2 linked regions of the Caenorhabditis elegans genome follow. The protein of the gene in region 2 purifies or fractionates together with the protein of the main gene of each other region. This does not show direct contact. Each region holds a gene or a part of one and is shown on either strand. Other genes may lie near its edges.

The links. The genes of interacting proteins can lie anywhere in the genome.
Region 1: the proteins of ife-3 (region 2) and ifg-1 purify together in Caenorhabditis elegans (affinity purification with western blotting, with the first as the bait; one study listed by BioGRID). This does not show direct contact.

Annotation. Positions count from the first base shown.
Region 1 is NC_003280.10:8,213,120-8,221,363, reverse strand, and holds ifg-1 (MIF4G domain-containing protein), read right to left. Parts: upstream 4,111-8,244; coding exon 4,062-4,110; intron 4,020-4,061; coding exon 3,926-4,019; intron 3,882-3,925; coding exon 3,765-3,881; intron 3,620-3,764; coding exon 2,527-3,619; intron 2,473-2,526; coding exon 2,269-2,472; intron 2,218-2,268; coding exon 1,251-2,217; intron 1,198-1,250; coding exon 627-1,197; intron 581-626; coding exon 355-580; intron 284-354; coding exon 122-283; downstream 1-121. Other genes in the region: M110.3 (E3 ubiquitin-protein ligase MARCHF5), read left to right, coding at 4,938-5,060, 5,306-5,382, 5,435-5,590, 5,852-5,992, 6,495-6,567; M110.10 (Small integral membrane protein 15), read left to right, coding at 6,897-7,190.
Region 2 is NC_003283.11:3,590-11,565, forward strand, and holds ife-3 (Eukaryotic translation initiation factor 4E-3), read right to left. Parts: upstream 4,241-7,976; 5' UTR 4,230-4,240; coding exon 4,062-4,229; intron 4,021-4,061; coding exon 3,844-4,020; intron 3,805-3,843; coding exon 3,569-3,804; intron 3,522-3,568; coding exon 3,347-3,521; 3' UTR 2,999-3,346; downstream 1-2,998. Other genes in the region: idpp-2 (Intrinsically Disordered Protein, expressed in Pharynx), read left to right, coding at 1,949-2,377, 2,435-2,922; B0348.10 (uncharacterized protein), read right to left, coding at 4,986-5,150. UniProt on the Caenorhabditis elegans protein: Recognizes and binds the 7-methylguanosine-containing mRNA cap during an early step in the initiation of protein synthesis and facilitates ribosome binding by inducing the unwinding of the mRNAs secondary structures.

The DNA of each region.
Region 1 (8,244 bases), on a different chromosome or scaffold from region 2:
ACATGTTTAGACCGTATTATCAACAACTCGTTCTTATATAGATAATTAAAATGGGTTTTAGCACACAAAAAAGTTCTCTATAAATCTACTGTGGAGTTTGAAAATCCAAAAATACGATAAATTAGTTGCCCGTCAAATAGCTCGACAACGTTTTTCCATTTTTAAACGTCACTGCTTCCATTTCTGCTGAAAGTCCTTCTTCCATCTCAGTCTTTAACTTCATGTCCGAAAACTCCCACGAGATTCCTTCTGCAGCGCCAGTCACTTCAAGCTCAAGCTCGATCTGAAAAAAATTAAATTAAAAAAATAAACGCAATGTACTGAATCTGAGCACTAAAATTTGCAATAACTCACCAATTGCTTCAAAACTTGAACAAGAAGGTCAAATTTCTTATTTCCTTCTCCTTTGGCAGCTGAGAAAATTGGCTTCATGTCCGCTAATGAGAAAGATTCAACTTCTCCAATTTCGTCATGTGGAGCATGACTTGTGTTCACGAGAACTTCACCAGTAACGGTCCACAATTTGGGATAATCTTGCTGGAGCTCAACATCATTAGCGAATTTGCAGAAACGGGTAGCTCTGAAATAATTTGTAAAGCTCAATAAATCATAAACTCTTGCCTTACCCCTCTATAAAAGCTTGCTTCTCAGTCTTGCTGACCAATGACATCCGCAGAGCAATAGCCAACTTCTTTCGATCATCATCCTTCAAACCTTTTTCGATCACAGCTCGGATAATCATCTCATAGACTACTGTCAATGACGGCGAACCGTATTTTTCTTTTCCAACATAATCGGTGATAGAGTCAACCAATTCCTTTTGGGAGAGCTCACCACTAGACATTTCTAGAAGATCGGATTTAACGGTATTCATAATCTTGGCTCTGACAGCTTTCTCTTCTTCAGTCAGCTCATCGTCGGTCTTGTCAGTATTCGAATTTTGTGATGTGGATCGCCGCGAAGAAATTGACATTGCACTGATTTCCTTTGCAGCAGCTAAAGCGGCCTGTTTCTCGTCAACAGTCGACTTTTTGCGTTGATCATTGGAATCACGTCGCCCCCAAGCTGATTTGACTGGAACGGCAGATTCGGAAGAAGTGTTTCCTCCACCAGAAGCACCAGAATGCCACTCTTTTTTGCTCTTCCCAAGAGTATTATTATCCATCGAAGAGAGCGAGATGTTTTTGGGTTGAACACCTGGAAATTGCAATTAATTAATATTGAAGAAATATTTGTCTGAAAATACTTACTCGATGAGGCAAGTTTTGTGTTAGCTGCAGCAGCGGCTCTTTTTTGTTCAGGGTGTTGCATTCCTCGGTTCCTATCCAATGAATTCCTGGAGACTGGAACTGATTTTCTGAGAGAGTTGCTGTTTGGTCTGACACCTCCATGACGACGATCACGATCCCGATCATATTGATCACGAGCTTTCTCATTTTCAATCTTCTCTTGACGAATATCTTTGTGAATTTCATCGATTTTTTTCGGTCCAGACTCGGTAGATTTTCTTGGAATCCATTTGTCTTTGCGAAGCTCCATAAGATTCATGATCATGAAACGGATTTTGTTTGAGCAGTAAGGTTTGGCAGCTTCCAACTTCTGGAACCATTGATCAAGGAATACGGTCGTGGAATCTTTTGATTTATCCAACATCACGCCTACAGTCTCGATGAGTTGAAGACCACAGTGAATAGATTCCTCGTCGACATCCTCTTTTTTAATATCTTGGTCCTTGATCGAATTGAACAATTCGAATGTACACGTTTGGACGATTTTTGTGGATAAAAGTTGATTTCTATACAGATAACCCATAAACGTCATAACTCCGAACTTTCTCCGTCTAAATTTCTGTTTCTCCTCTGCAAGCATCAATTCCTTTTTCACTGGATCTTCTTCTTTTTCGATGATTGCCAGTTTGTCTGCATCAATGTCTTTTTTATCCTGGAATGTCATCTGCGTCCGAGTCAAAACCTTATTTCTGAAGGCTGACTTTCCGCCGGTCTGGGATAGTTCATGATTCGCCTGAGCCTTACACATTTCAGCGTACAAAGCACAGAACTTTGGCTCTTCAACTGCCTTGTCAAAGACGATTTCGACAACTTGAGCGAGCTGCGCATCGTTGGAGGATACATTGTAGGAAATGAATTCTTCGGTGAGAGGACGTTGTGATGTAGGCGTCACCTTGTTCATAAGAGACCGAACCTTCTTACAAACTTCCTGAAATTTGGTTTAACAGTTTATAGTTTTGATTAATCACGAATAACTTACAATAACCGCAGCTTCCTCGCTTGCAACAGCTTCCGCGGTTTTTTGACGGTCTGGCTTCCATGCATCTTTCGATGATGGAAGTGTAACTCTCTGAACTCGTTCAATCGAAGGTCTAACAACTGGTGGTCGCTTGTTGTGCATACGATCTCTTTGCTGCTGACCGCCACGCCCGGTTCCATCTGTGGTTGTTCTTCCACGGTATGGCTGAAAATACAATATTGTTTGAATTATGGCTTTTATTAAATAATGATAACTTACAACCTGCTGGCGGTTTCCTCCTTTGTTTGCCCAGTTTGGTGTGAAATTAGGCTTCTTATTATCAGAAACTCGCATCGTTTTGATATCCAATCCGAAATCAGCTAGCTGAGCTGGTGACAGTGGACATGGGGTCCGAGAGAAAACTTTTTCAATTTCGCGAATAGTAACCATGAAATCTCTTCCAAAAGTTCCATCCGAGATGACAGCACTTCCGGCCAGGATAAGCTCCTCGATTCTTTTCTCTAAAGCTTCCTCGCGAAGTTTTTTCTTTTCAATCTCTTCGGCTTCTTTCTGTGCTTTTTCGATTTCCAGCTCCTCAGGAGTCTTTTCTGTAGAAGAGTCAGCAACGTCTGGCGTACTTTCTCTTTCATCATTCTCCTCAAATTTATCATCATCAGTTTCCTCTTTTGATTCTTCCTTTGTCAGTGTTGGAGTAACTCTGACATCAGCTACAGTAGATGCTGATTCTGCAGTTCCACTGGCGGGCGTAGTGGTGGTTGTGTCTGATGCATGGGGAGATGAAACAGGCGTCACAAGGGTTTCTGCTTGTTTTACTTCGTAATCAGCCTTTGCTGGTGCTTCTGGAGTTTTCGGAACGGACGGTACAACTTGTGGAGCTATGGATGCTGCTGGAGGTGTCTGTCCCAGGGCTGGCGGTGGTACGCTAAAATTGGGAAGTACAGCAGCTTGCACCGCAGCTGGGACCGCAGCTGGGACCGCAGGAGGATTATCATGTCGTCTGTCTTCATGATGTAGTTCATTTTTGACCTGATTCAAGAATTCTAAAGTAATGTTTTGTTTTTTCTTTTCTTCCTCTGGGGCAATCGGGGCTGCTGGAGCCGCTGGCGCTGGTGCAGCTGGTGCAAGATGAGGCGTCACTTCAATTGCCTTTTTCGTAGTTGGATCGACAATTTCCAGTGCTTTCCTTTGCCGTTTAGGTTCTTGTGGAGCTGTATGAGTCATCTGTTGTTGTGCTGGCTGAGCTGGTTGATATGGCATTTCTGGGTGGTATTGCTGAGGAGCTTGGTAGCCTTGGTACTGTTGATTGTACATCTGTGGTTGATGACCATAGTCCGGTCGCTGATATCCACCACTGAAAATGATATTCATGAAAAACTGGTAGGTAACAGAAGTAAGCGTTTGGGATACTCATATTTTTAAGAAAATTTATTTTTCAGTGTGAGTAAAATTTTGGAAATGATAAGCTAAATATATTTAATATTTAAAAAAAAACTTACTATTGTTGCTGGTGCTGTGGTGCTTGTGGCGGATAATAGTGATTTGTTTGTGGTTGGTTGTATTGTTGTTGGCCATATTGTGGATACGCCGACTGGTTCATTGGCATTCTTTGATAGCTGAAAAAGAACTTTAGCCATGGAAAATATTTTCAACTTCTTACTTTGAGTTCACTGGGCCAGATGTGTTAACAAATGGCATCACGAATTGTTGGGATGAATCCTGCATAGGAACTGCATTGTGATCTGAATGAAAACCTTGAAGGAATTAGAAAACTGACAAAAACCGTGAGCACTTACCTTGATTCGGCTTCCCTCTCCCAGGCCCCCTACTAACAGCGTTTGACATAATCTTTCAGTTTGAGGAAGTCACTGAAAAGAGTTTTAATAAAATAAAAAACGATAGAGAATAATTAGAGAAGGGGAAATTGAGGGAGGAGGAATAACGTTATTTTTCAAAATAAGAGCAGAGTGAAGGTAAAAGTGTTTTCTCTACAGATAGCAAGAACAGAAAAAGTGCAGAACGCAGCGTTTAGAATATCGATTATTTAAACTGGTGATGTCAACAATAAAAAATGACTGCACATCGTCTCCTTCATACTCAAGAGCAGAAGATGTGCATGTATCGACAGAATTTAAAGAACGTGCACACCGAGAGAAATTACATGGATCGATGAAAACTATAAAATACAATCGCATAGAAGTGGTTTTACGTTTAGTCCGTGTGAATCTGTAAGAACTTAACAAAAATTATGAGTAAATTCCAAAGATATCGCCAGTCAGAACAGAAAGTAAACAAAGTCTTAACCAATTTCGCAACCGGAAATCAATAAATTTCGAAATGCCTGATTTCAAAACATTGAAGAAATAAATATTGATCGAAATTTAAAATTTTGAACCTATGAAACAAAAATCAAGTTTAAAAAACAACAAAACGTTTGTTTTTTTCCGAAAAATCGATATAAATTTAGGCTGAGCCAAGAGACAATGGGTCTCGTAGCGACAAGTTGCCTGCCATAGTTCCAACTCGCGTAAATCGACACAACTCTCCTCTCTTTGCACGCTATTTCTCCCTCATCACATCGCTTTTCAAGTATCTACCAAAGAAATCCGGTTTCCTCTTTGGAAATCAGATTTTATATTAAAAAAAAACAAATAAACAAACCGTTACGGAAGATGGCGTTAGAAATCGACGGAAATGAGCAGGAAACCGAGAAATATTGTAAATTCTGCTTCGGAACGGAAAGTGATAATGCGTTAAGCTTCGTTCATCCGTGTCGATGTCGAGGATCTATTCACGTGAGATTTCATATTCGAAAAATGTTTTTTATGCTTATTGAATAGAAAAATTAAATTTATGAGTGTTAAATTAAAAAAGAGATACATGAATCAATATGCTTATCGAATCAAAATAAATATTGCGAAAATTGATATTAAAATTAACTAGGAAAGTTCAGGAACCTTGAAAAATTTTTGTTATAACCTTGAGAAACTGTTCGATTTTCGCGAATAATTCTAGTTTTTCACTCCAACTTTTTTTTCAGTGGGTTCATCATCAATGCCTGGCCATGTGGTTTTCGAAAGCGAATGCTGTACAACAAGTTATGTGTATTCAGTGCCAGTACGTTAATTAAAGTTTATTGAAGAAAATTTCTGAATATTCCAATTTCCAGAACACGATATCAAAAACAATTAACACTCAAATCATGGAAATCCTGGACAATTCCTCGCTTTGGAATCGATAAGTTTGGCTTGCTGGAAATTACTGTTGATTTATGGATAACATGGAGAACTGTATCCGGTTTCGTTGGAATGATGAACGGAACAAAGTAAGAATATCTGAAAAAAAAACTATCATGGGGTTTTACAAATTTGAACATTGTTTTATTTTTCTCCTCTCGTATTATTAGATGGGAATAGAAAATACAACTGTAACAAAATCCAGAAATGTTCATAAAATGAAACTGAAATAATTGATTAAATGAATTCGAAGTTTCCAAATATTTAAAATTATCTTTCTCCAATTCAAACAGCGAAATAGAATCAAACTTCTCGAAAATAACATCCATAAATCGTCGTAATTGTTTCAGGGGAATTTTCCGAGAGATAATTCTATGCACCATGTGGAAATGTTTTGTAGCATCTGGAAGGAGGTTTTGCTACTACGGAAATCTCGGACTAAGACTTGCTTCTTCGATTTTCCGAGTTAGTATTGATGACTATGAAGAAAGGTACGTATCCAATATTTATAGATTTGTTTCTCTTCGGTCACATTTTTGCTAGAGCCCAATTAAAAAATATATAATCATACCGTTTTGAGGTAAATTCAGGAAATTTCTGAACAGCTTAATATATTACGGGAACAATAAATCATGAGAATGTGTACTTAGTGCATTTTATTTGACGCGCTATATCTCTTAGCGAAAACTACAGTAAGAGCTTAAATATCTATTGTTATTTGAGTTCTTACTGTATTTTTCGCTAAGAGATATCGCGCGTCAAATAAAATGCACCAAGTACGCATTCTCATGATTTATTGTTCCCTTAATATGTAATTTCATAATTTAATTTTCTATATAAAATTGGCTACTATTAAATTCTACAAATTTTTAAACTACTGCTGTGATTGTGGCGAGACCCGCTCAGAAAAGTGACGTGTGCCTTTAAAGTTAATTGTCACAAAAAACGTATTTTACGAATATCTGTTTCATATTCAAATTGTGCCAATTTCAGACGAGAAATCAAGGCACGACTTCCAACCGATATGCACTGGGAAGAAATCAGCCAATCGTCTGTTCTCAACTAGTACAGTTCACTTGTCCTCCATACGGGTTGCTGAAGTGCTCAAGTGTCGCTCCTCCTCTTATTTGCTTTATCCTCCCAACAACTGACCTGGTTTTCCGTTTTCTTTCTCTCACACTCTTGTCTCTATCATCTCAGTGTTTTTTCTGTATTTTCTGTGATTTCAGCTTCGTTGTACCAATAAAACGACAAATTTGTACTTATCAATAAAGTTTTAATTTATAACTTCAGTATCCATTTTATGAATAGTAAAGACTTTTTCAGTGTAAAGACTCTGTCTACTTCATTTTAATTTTTCTTAAGTTACTTTTTTTTATCTCTCAATTTTTGTAGATGAATAATATACGAAATCAGTTTCAAAAGTTGTATTGGATGATTTTGGATCACCCATTCTATACGGTCGAATCGGTGTTGGCTCTTACAATTCCATTAATTTTAGTGGTTTTCATGTTCAATTGGAGAGTCAAACAATCAATGAAAAAACAAAAATTGATTCAAAGTCGAAGAGACAAACTTCTCAAAAAGTTGAATGGAGGAAAGACGAAAATGGATGAAAATGAAGAAGATGATGAAGTTATCAAAGAAGCCATCAAGCTCATGGAACAAAAAGTCAAGAAATCGAATTGACTCATTTAATGGATGATCTTTTTCTGTTGAAATATCTTGTTTTCTTTGTTCAAATTTTATTGTGATCTCTTAAATATCTTCAAAAGCATAGTCATGAATAAACGTGGATTGAAATAATAATTCGTATTTTTATATTTTTGAAACAACACACAACTTAATCTAGTCTTTGCAATTTTCACTCTTGGTTCCAGAATTTATTGAATTTTGGTACAAAAACTACTGTTCTAGGTCCCGACACGACCGAAACTTCAAAGCTACCGTACTCACAATTTCTTCGCATTTTTCTCCTATTTTCTGTTGTTTGCTCGGTTTTCTTAATGCAAAAACTACACATTAATTTTTTAAAACGTCAAATTCCATAAAATGCAGAAGTTTTGGTCGTTTGGAGACCTCAGACAAAACGTTAGCATTTCTGTCTAATTTGTCTAAAATTGGAAAAACTAGACCAAAAAATAAATCACTTTATCTTACATATTTCATTCTGAAGTAACAGGTGAATTAACTCGGATAATGATTTGAGTCAGCTAAATATTTTCCTATTTTTTCATTTTCATATTTCCAAGTGATAAAATACACATAGAATGGTTTTCTACATTTTGTCAGACAATGTAACTATTTTTTTGCAGAATTATAATTGTATCCCTGTACATTTTTACATGTAAAAGCACTATTCCGAATAATAAAATACCCAAAAATAATAAAGTTGAATGACGGAAACAAGGTGAGACGTTGCATTTCTGATGAAGCCGAGAGAGTGCACAAGACGAAGAGATATAAGAAACAATTTAAGGGGACCTCGAAAAAGTTTCGTGCTGGTTGGGAAAAGAAATGGATATTCTATTTCATTGTTCTATTGGGTTTTTTAGCTCACTTTATGAACTAGGTTAACATTTCTTATTGAAATCTTAGCGAGCGACAACTCAGCCAGTTGTCTCAATTGCAAATTTGGAATTCTCGGTGTAAAACGTAAGAAGACCAAGTTAAAAGGAAATACTATTTAGAAATTATATCGGTTTGGTAGTTTTCTTTTTGTGCTTGCCTAAACTTACTTTAA
Region 2 (7,976 bases):
CCATTTCGATTTATGAGGGAGGCCAGAATTCCGTGATTTTCCCATTTCTCACGGCCTCTCTAAATTTCACGTTTTTCAAAATTCATCTTTTTCTCTCTGCTCTCTCACTCTCTCACGTGAAATATTACTTTCTGAATAATAATTTGTGTTTAATTAAATCAAATTTTATTGAAATAGAATTCATGATACACGATCTTGAGAAGAGCTCTGTCCTCCAGGCTGCGAACTGGAGCGTAGAAAGTTTTCATATTGTTAAAAACTGCAAAGAAATGTTCGATTCCTTGTTCTGACGTGTGATGCTTTCTCAAATATGGAATTAAATGACAGACAAGGAGATGAAGTTTCGGAGTGACTCATTATTTCATCAGTTTCATTAGGAAAAACACTCTTTATTTATTCAAGGAACTGTTAAAGCAAAACTTCAATTTTGTCAATCTCTTGGTCTAAATACGTTCTATCGTTAGATAAATCTAACTATCTAACTGAAACGAGTACAACTATATTGTAACGCAAAAAAGCTAAGCGCCATAAAACACAAGTAAAACAGGCTCCAGTAAGCCTAAACTGTTTTTACTATAAAAAACCATTGTCATTCACCTACCTACCAAATGCCAATATAATTGGTTGAAAAAAATTAGTTTAATCTCCTCGCAAGATTTTTTTCTCCGAAATTTAAGATTGGGCGCTTAGTGATATCATAACTCTGCAGCCATCAGAAAAACTGAAATGTATTTAAACTGTAAGTTTTAATCGTTTTATGAGGATTATTTCTTTAGTTGACAGTTTTTTGATAGCTTCTTTAGTTATTGAGCTACGGGCTTCCAAACAAAACCAATCAAAAACCACTATAAACCACAATGTCCTAAAAGTGAAATTACTCAGTCAATTTTTAACCAAATCACGGCATTAATGTCTTGATATCTTCATTGAACAATTTGTAAAAATCGTAAGGCGGTAGTTTTTTGATAAATGTCATCGTTTTTTAGTAAAATTGCGTTAACCATTCAAAAATGGCCCATTTTTGGTGTTTTCAGGCCTAATTCTTGTTTTTGAAATTCCGGAGCCAGTTTTTATCGAAAATTTTTGTGCAATGTCAAAAAATGACCGGAAAAAAATTCTCTACAATCGTAAGGCGGTACTTTTTAAAATTTCGTTTCCATTCTTCCCCAGGGATCCCGTAAAAAACCAATTTTTCGACTAGGTCTCACATTTTGCCCTACAAGAGCATAGTTAATGTTATAAATTTGGATTTTTTGGTCGAATTTGATGAGGTAATATTCAGTTGTTTGTTTATTGTTGGAAAATCTGAAGATTTATCAGCGAATCGCCCGATTTCGCCAATTATGACCAAAAAACCCCTAGTTTAGGATTTTCACGAATGGATGAGTTCATTGATACGCTTCCACGCTGTTTTTGGTTTCATTCAGACGCTACTTGCCTGATCTATCAGTCTAACAATTTTTGTTTAATTTTCTTCACTATCCGCCGTTTATAGTTCGTTCTTCCGTAATCAGTGCAAAATCGGTTCAAAAAACTCACTCTCTCGCCCATGAGAGACGCAGAGACAGTTCATCACGTTATTTTATTTAATTATTGAAATGAAGAGAGGCCGTGATTTCTGCTTTTAAAAAAGTTGATTTTTGGAAAACTTGTCAAACAGCACGTGTATTTTTCTAATAGCTCTTTTCGAGGCATGGGTCGAGCTGAATACACGTGAAACCGAAAAAAGAACAAGAAAAATCGAAACTACAGTACTCCCTAAAGGCGCACACTCTTTTCCATAAATTATTTTGTTTGATCGTCTCGAGACCTGGTATCGTAATCTTGCGAAACAAATCGCGAACTGTCGCATCTCATTTGAAAACTGGGCAAAATCCTTATTTTATGTAAATTGGAGCTCATTTGGCGCTGTAAAATGCAAAAACATAATAAAAAAGTGCATTTCCAGGTTCCCCAGACGAAGAATCCGACGTTGATTCCGGTGATTCAATTTATCGAAAGAAAGTCACCACATTCCGACGACGAAACATAAATGCCCCATTCGGAGTTCGTGTTCCTTTCAGTAGAATGGCCTATAAAGCCGGTTATGGATCAAACAGAATGGGCTATCGGAACACGGGATCCCCGCCACCCCCACAAATAGGTGGCCTCTACGGTGACCGTAATCCGAATCCATATGGCACAGTGAATCTTGGTGGAGGTTCCCCATATCCTGGGGGTCTAGAAGAGTACAATATCCGGCCGGCCGCTCCATTTTCCGGACTGGTCGGAGGAAGTCGATCTGGGTACTACGGGAGCACTGTTGGTATGAGACGGGGTGCCGTTGTGCCGCCTATGAGCTCCAGGAAGACGAAAATTCCACAGACTGAGTATCCACGTAAGTATACGATTTTTCTATGCGCTATAAAATTCTTTAAAATCCGCTATTTTCCAGCTGATTACGCATCTAACGACCTGATGAACAGTTTCAATGGAGCTACAAATTCCGCGATCCCATCACTTCGCGAGCTTGCCACCTATGCGTCACGCTATGGTCCCGCATATCTTCGCGAACGATTCGGAAGCCATGATTCCCAACTTGAGCGTATGCTTTATGGCGGCAGTGGACCACAGATCCCATCACGTGGAGGAGGAATTCCCATAGATTACAACATGAACATTGCTTCGAATCACTGGAACCGAGGAATTGGCTCTCCGATGGGAATTATGTCGCGGGATGTTGATTCCTATCAACACGACGATGCGGCCAAAGCAAACAAAAAGACCACTACCGGCTCGCCGAGCACGACGAGCACACGGAAACCTCGGAAAGCTAGGAAGCCAACCAAGAAGACTGTTGCCGCAGCTCCTTCGTCTAGCTCGAACACATCGACTACGGCAAAGCCTGCAAAAACTGTAAAGACATCGGAGAAGTCTGCCTGAAAACAAGAATAGAATCAATTTTTAAAAATGTACAAAATCAAACGCCCTACAAATCATGTGTGTGAAGAAGAATAATAACTAACATATCTATTTATATTTACCGAATAAATATATATTCATCAATTAACCTGAAGAACAAACGAATTCGGCTACAGGCGTCGATCAGTCTCGAATCTAGTAACAACAAGAGAGCAATACGAAAACCGGTAAATCAATAGGGGGAAGCGAAACAGTAGGTACAAATTGGAGGGGAAGCACCAATACATTAGGTGGGGGGTACGACTTGAAAAATGAGCTGATTTTCGAATAGTTAAAGCGATGATCGTGTCCGAAAAACAGTTCATTTTTCAAGACAACATTGAGACTGGGAGTACGGGGAAGCTCATTTACGGTGAGAGGAATTGGTGAGATCTTTAGAATATGCTTAAGGAGTTGGGGTGGCTGGAGAAGTTCCTGTAGCCTCCGTGCCGGGATTCGATGGAGAAGTCGTTGCGGCTGGTCCCTTTTCCTTCACTGGTGCTGGATCCTTGGCTGGAAGACATATGCGTGGCTTGACAGTCGATGAGGTGCGAGCCGACGAGTCCTTGTGAACTTCGTATCTGGAAATATTTTACTTAGATAGCAAATACTAAAATTGTAAAATTACCTCAAAATCTCAGTATCCGGAATGCTCAATTTCTGCTTCAAAACCTGTCCGATGCGAAGATTGACATCATCGCGAGTAGCATCACGAGTCCACAAGGAAACCTTGTCACCCTTTTGACGAACATTCACGACAGCTCCGCAGATGTAGTCTCCGTACTCGTCGAATTGCTCTCCAACAATAGCCATCAACAGCTCCAACCAGTAGTGATCGAGCAATTGCGTTCTTCTCTGAAGCTTCTATGATTCATTGAATAAAATATATTTCTCAAAACGTACTTGCTTATCGACAACAACCAACCAACGTCCACCTTGAACGTTGTTGACGTCCTCCCACATTGGCTTGATTCCTTCCTTGAACAAGTAATAATCGGATCCCCAGTTCAATCCTCCGGCAGACTGAATGTGATTGTACAGCGACCAGAAGTCCTCGACAGTGTCGAAAAGTGAAACCATCTGGAAAAAATCGATAAAAGACGTATTTAAAAATCTTCTACCTTCAGACAATCCTCCCATTCCTTGTTACGGTCAGCTTTCAAGTACCAGAGAGCCCAGCGATTCTGGAGGGGGTGTCTGGTGAGAAGCTCTGGAGGAACTGAAGCATCGGACGCATTCACATCGCCGGAAGCTGACAATGCTTTGTTTTCCGCTACGGATGTGCTCATTTAGCTGAAAATAGGTAATATTATATACGATTAGAGCTCGGAAAACGATAAAATAGAGAAGAGTATGAATTTGGTTCAAATAACTCGGATTTTATAGGAAATTTTGTTTTACTGCACATTTTCGGCTAGTTTCCAAGCTTTTTAGATTTTTCAAGTGTAATTGGTAACATCGGGCACAATAAATTGATATTAAAGCTTGGAAAACAATAAAACAAAGTAGAAAATGAATTCAGCTCAACTTCGACGAAAAATCATCAAATGATTCGTTTCCCATGAAATTCCTAGTAGTTTTTAAACATTCTAGCTGTTTTTTAATCGTAAAAGTGAAAAAAAAAAGAGCGATTTCCCCGAAAAACCTTGGAAAATGAAGAAATGGAAAGAAAGGCGCGAATCCTGAAATTCAAACACCAGACACACGCAAAACGAGTGTAACCGTAGTTTTTGTCGTTGCGAAGTATCTTGTCTGCGGAATTGCGCCCCCCTTTAAACAAAACAGCGGAAAATATGAAAATTATTTTTGTATTAAAATAAAAATCGAGTTGTTTAGGTAAAATTTTTCAAATTTTATTGAAAATTCGGTAAAATAATGAAATTAATCGCTGAAAACTCGTTATTCGCACAGAAATTGAGCTCTTTCAGGGAATTCAGGCTAAAAAATTATATTTTCAGGTTTAAAATTCAAAAATTTATTTTCCAGATTGCAGTCGATAATCTGAGTTTTCCCAAAAAATGTGCATTGTTTACAGCCTGTGGTTCTCAATTTCTCCAATTTATCCACGAGTGCGTCTCCGTTTTCTTTTCTCCTTCTGCCGCATTCAGCGTCGCCGTCGTCGTCAGGAATTCATGAGCCGTCCCGGTGTCTCGAGCTCTTGTGAGCATACACACAGACACATACAGCAGCAGCCTCCACAACATGCACATATAAATATATCGGTCTGGGTGTTGCTGCTGCTGCCGCTGGGCGCCTTTTCCCTCTCTGTGTGCCTCAACTCGTCGCACATATCTCTCTCTCTCTCTCTCACTTTGCCTTGTTTTCCCTGCCCATCGTCCCGTAAAAAGGTGGCCAGACAGTTCTCCGAATCGCAGAGACGCAGCAAGCGTTGCCCCGAGGCGCCATTCGTCTAACCTACTGCGTCTGACACCCCGCCGTCAGACGACGTCGGGGGCCCTCCGACGACGACTTCTTTCGCTGTATTTCTCTCTCTCCTCCGTCTCCTCCTCCTCTCCACCACATCGATTTTCCCGTTTTAGAGTGTTGGCGGTGAGCCATAGTCACGAATACTTTGTCTATTTTTTCGGCGACGGCTGTTGGGCTTCTCTTCTCTGCGTCTCTCGCACTCTTGTCCGCCTTCTGACCGTCATAATTACCACGTCGTCCACGTAAAGTCTTCGGAGAGCGCCACGCCCCCACACACACATACACACAACATTTTCGTAGCCGCATTATTCTCCTAACAATCATCGTTTTTTGCTAGTTTTCAGTAGTTCCACAGACTTAAAGGAGGATCACCGAAATTCGAGACTTGGCTTTTTGGGACCCAAAATGTTCCAAAACTAATTTCGTAATGAGATGTTCTGAAAATTTCTCAAAAAAAAAAGTTATGACCGCTCGGAAAATGGTATATTTTCAGCTAAAATCTTAAATTTTGACAACTTCTCAGTGTCGCAGCGGTAGGAACTAAATTTTGATGTGATTATCACTTTTTAGTATGTATTTATTTATTTTCATTTCCACTCACACACGCGAAGCCCACAGCATTTGAAATTCTATAGTTTGTTTGCAGAATAGAGGTGTGCGGCACAAAAAGTTTACTGGAAAAAAGTAAACTTTTTTTGCGGCAAAAAAGAGTCGGAAGCTCAATTTTTTCAGACTCTTCTTATATATTTCGACAAAATAATTATGTTATCATTTCCTATTTAAGCGTCTTAAATTGTTCGCATAACAATGAGGAATTCCACGTTATATGGAAACGCTGTAAAAAGATCTCTGGTGAAATCGCGCTCCACGAGCTATTGAAAACGCTCCAAAAAACGAAAACTAGTTTTTTTTTTAATTTTTAAGTTCTTAATACTTTTTTCGACGTAAAATTCAATAAAAACAACGAAAATACCGTATTCCCTCTATTAGTCTTGCATGCAAGACTAATTTTCAATTGACCCGTAGGGGTGCAAGACTAATAGAGACTGCAAGACTATTAGAGGCTGCAAGACTAATTTTCGAAGATCCAATAGCTTTGTAAAATTGATAATTTATCGTCAAAAATTTGACTTGAAACTGTCTAAATCGTGCAAAATACATACTTTTCTATTGTTTTATCAATTATTTGAACACTTTAAAACTTAATTTGGCTAAAAAATGGCGAAATTTTTGAAGTTTTCACAAAATACTGCTGGTCTGGCAAGAATAGGGGTGCAAGACTATTACCGTATGCTCTCTAATAGTCTTGCATGCAATACTAATAGAGGCTGCAAGACTAATTTTCGATTGGTCCGTAGGGGTGCAAGACTAATAGAGGAAATACGGTATTTGAAAATTGGCGAAACATTTGAATTCACAGTTTTGCCGCCACATGCCTAACGAGACCTATGGTTTGGGGGCGGAGCTTTGCCAATTTTCCGTGGAGCGCGTTTCCACATCGATTTCGAATTATGTTTTTTTAAATCTAAACCAATGAAAAATTCAAATTCCTGTGCCTCCGGCTTTTCTCAAATTCAGCCGCGACCAGTGTCTATAACGGAGACTGGAAAATTCATATTTCTCAGATTTTCTACTGAATTTTTAAGTTTTCTATGGATTTTTAAACTTATTTTTTGGTAAAAAAAATAAGTCGAGTGAAATTAAAAATTTATCGAGTTCAAAAACTCGAAAATCGTTCATAAAATTCAAGGTGCTCCACGGCCAAAAAACCGGGTACAACAAAAAATTGGCGGTAAAACATTAAATTCGAACGTTTTCAATTATTTTCAGTAGTTTTTCGATTATTTTTACGCGAAAAAAGGTTATTATCATATACAGCGCATTTTTTCCATCTCTACGACTTTGAAGGGGCGCATTTACGCGCGATCGTCTTGACACGCGCCATTCATAGATTTTTGAGGCGCGTGACGAGACCATGCACGCACTTTTGAACACCTGGTGTCACAGTGCCCCATTTCGGTTTGATCTACTTAGATCTGCGAAAATGCGGGAGTTGAGACGCAGAGTTCTCAACTGATTTCGCATGATTAAGAACATGCTGACGTCACATTTTTTTACGCGAAAAATTCCCGCATTTTCTGTAGATCAACCCGTAATGGGACAACCTGACACCGCGTGTTTGAAGGGGCCACAAACTCGTCGTTTGGCCGTGGAGCGCGTTTGCACCTCGATTGCACTTTTTCGCGCAAGAGCCCATAAGAGGAACTAAGTTATATCAGATTTTCACTGGAACACACAACAACTTCCAACAGATTAGCTTCCTACTCGGTACTCTTTTTTGCCCCCCCTTGCCTCATTGTCTACGGGAGGGGGATCCTCTTGTGTAATACGTTATTAAATTATGCCTGTCAGAGCAGCAACACACACAGACAAGTGAGTCGTCGACTCAAAAAAAGAAGAGAAAATAGAAGAAGAAGTGGATCTTCTTCTTCTTTTTCGGCTTCTCACTTTTCTTGATGCACCATACTTTTTTTCTAGTTTCACTTGCCTCTTTCTCTCTCAGTTCCCTGAAGATTTTCGTATTGTTCACAACTTGTTCTCGCGAACAA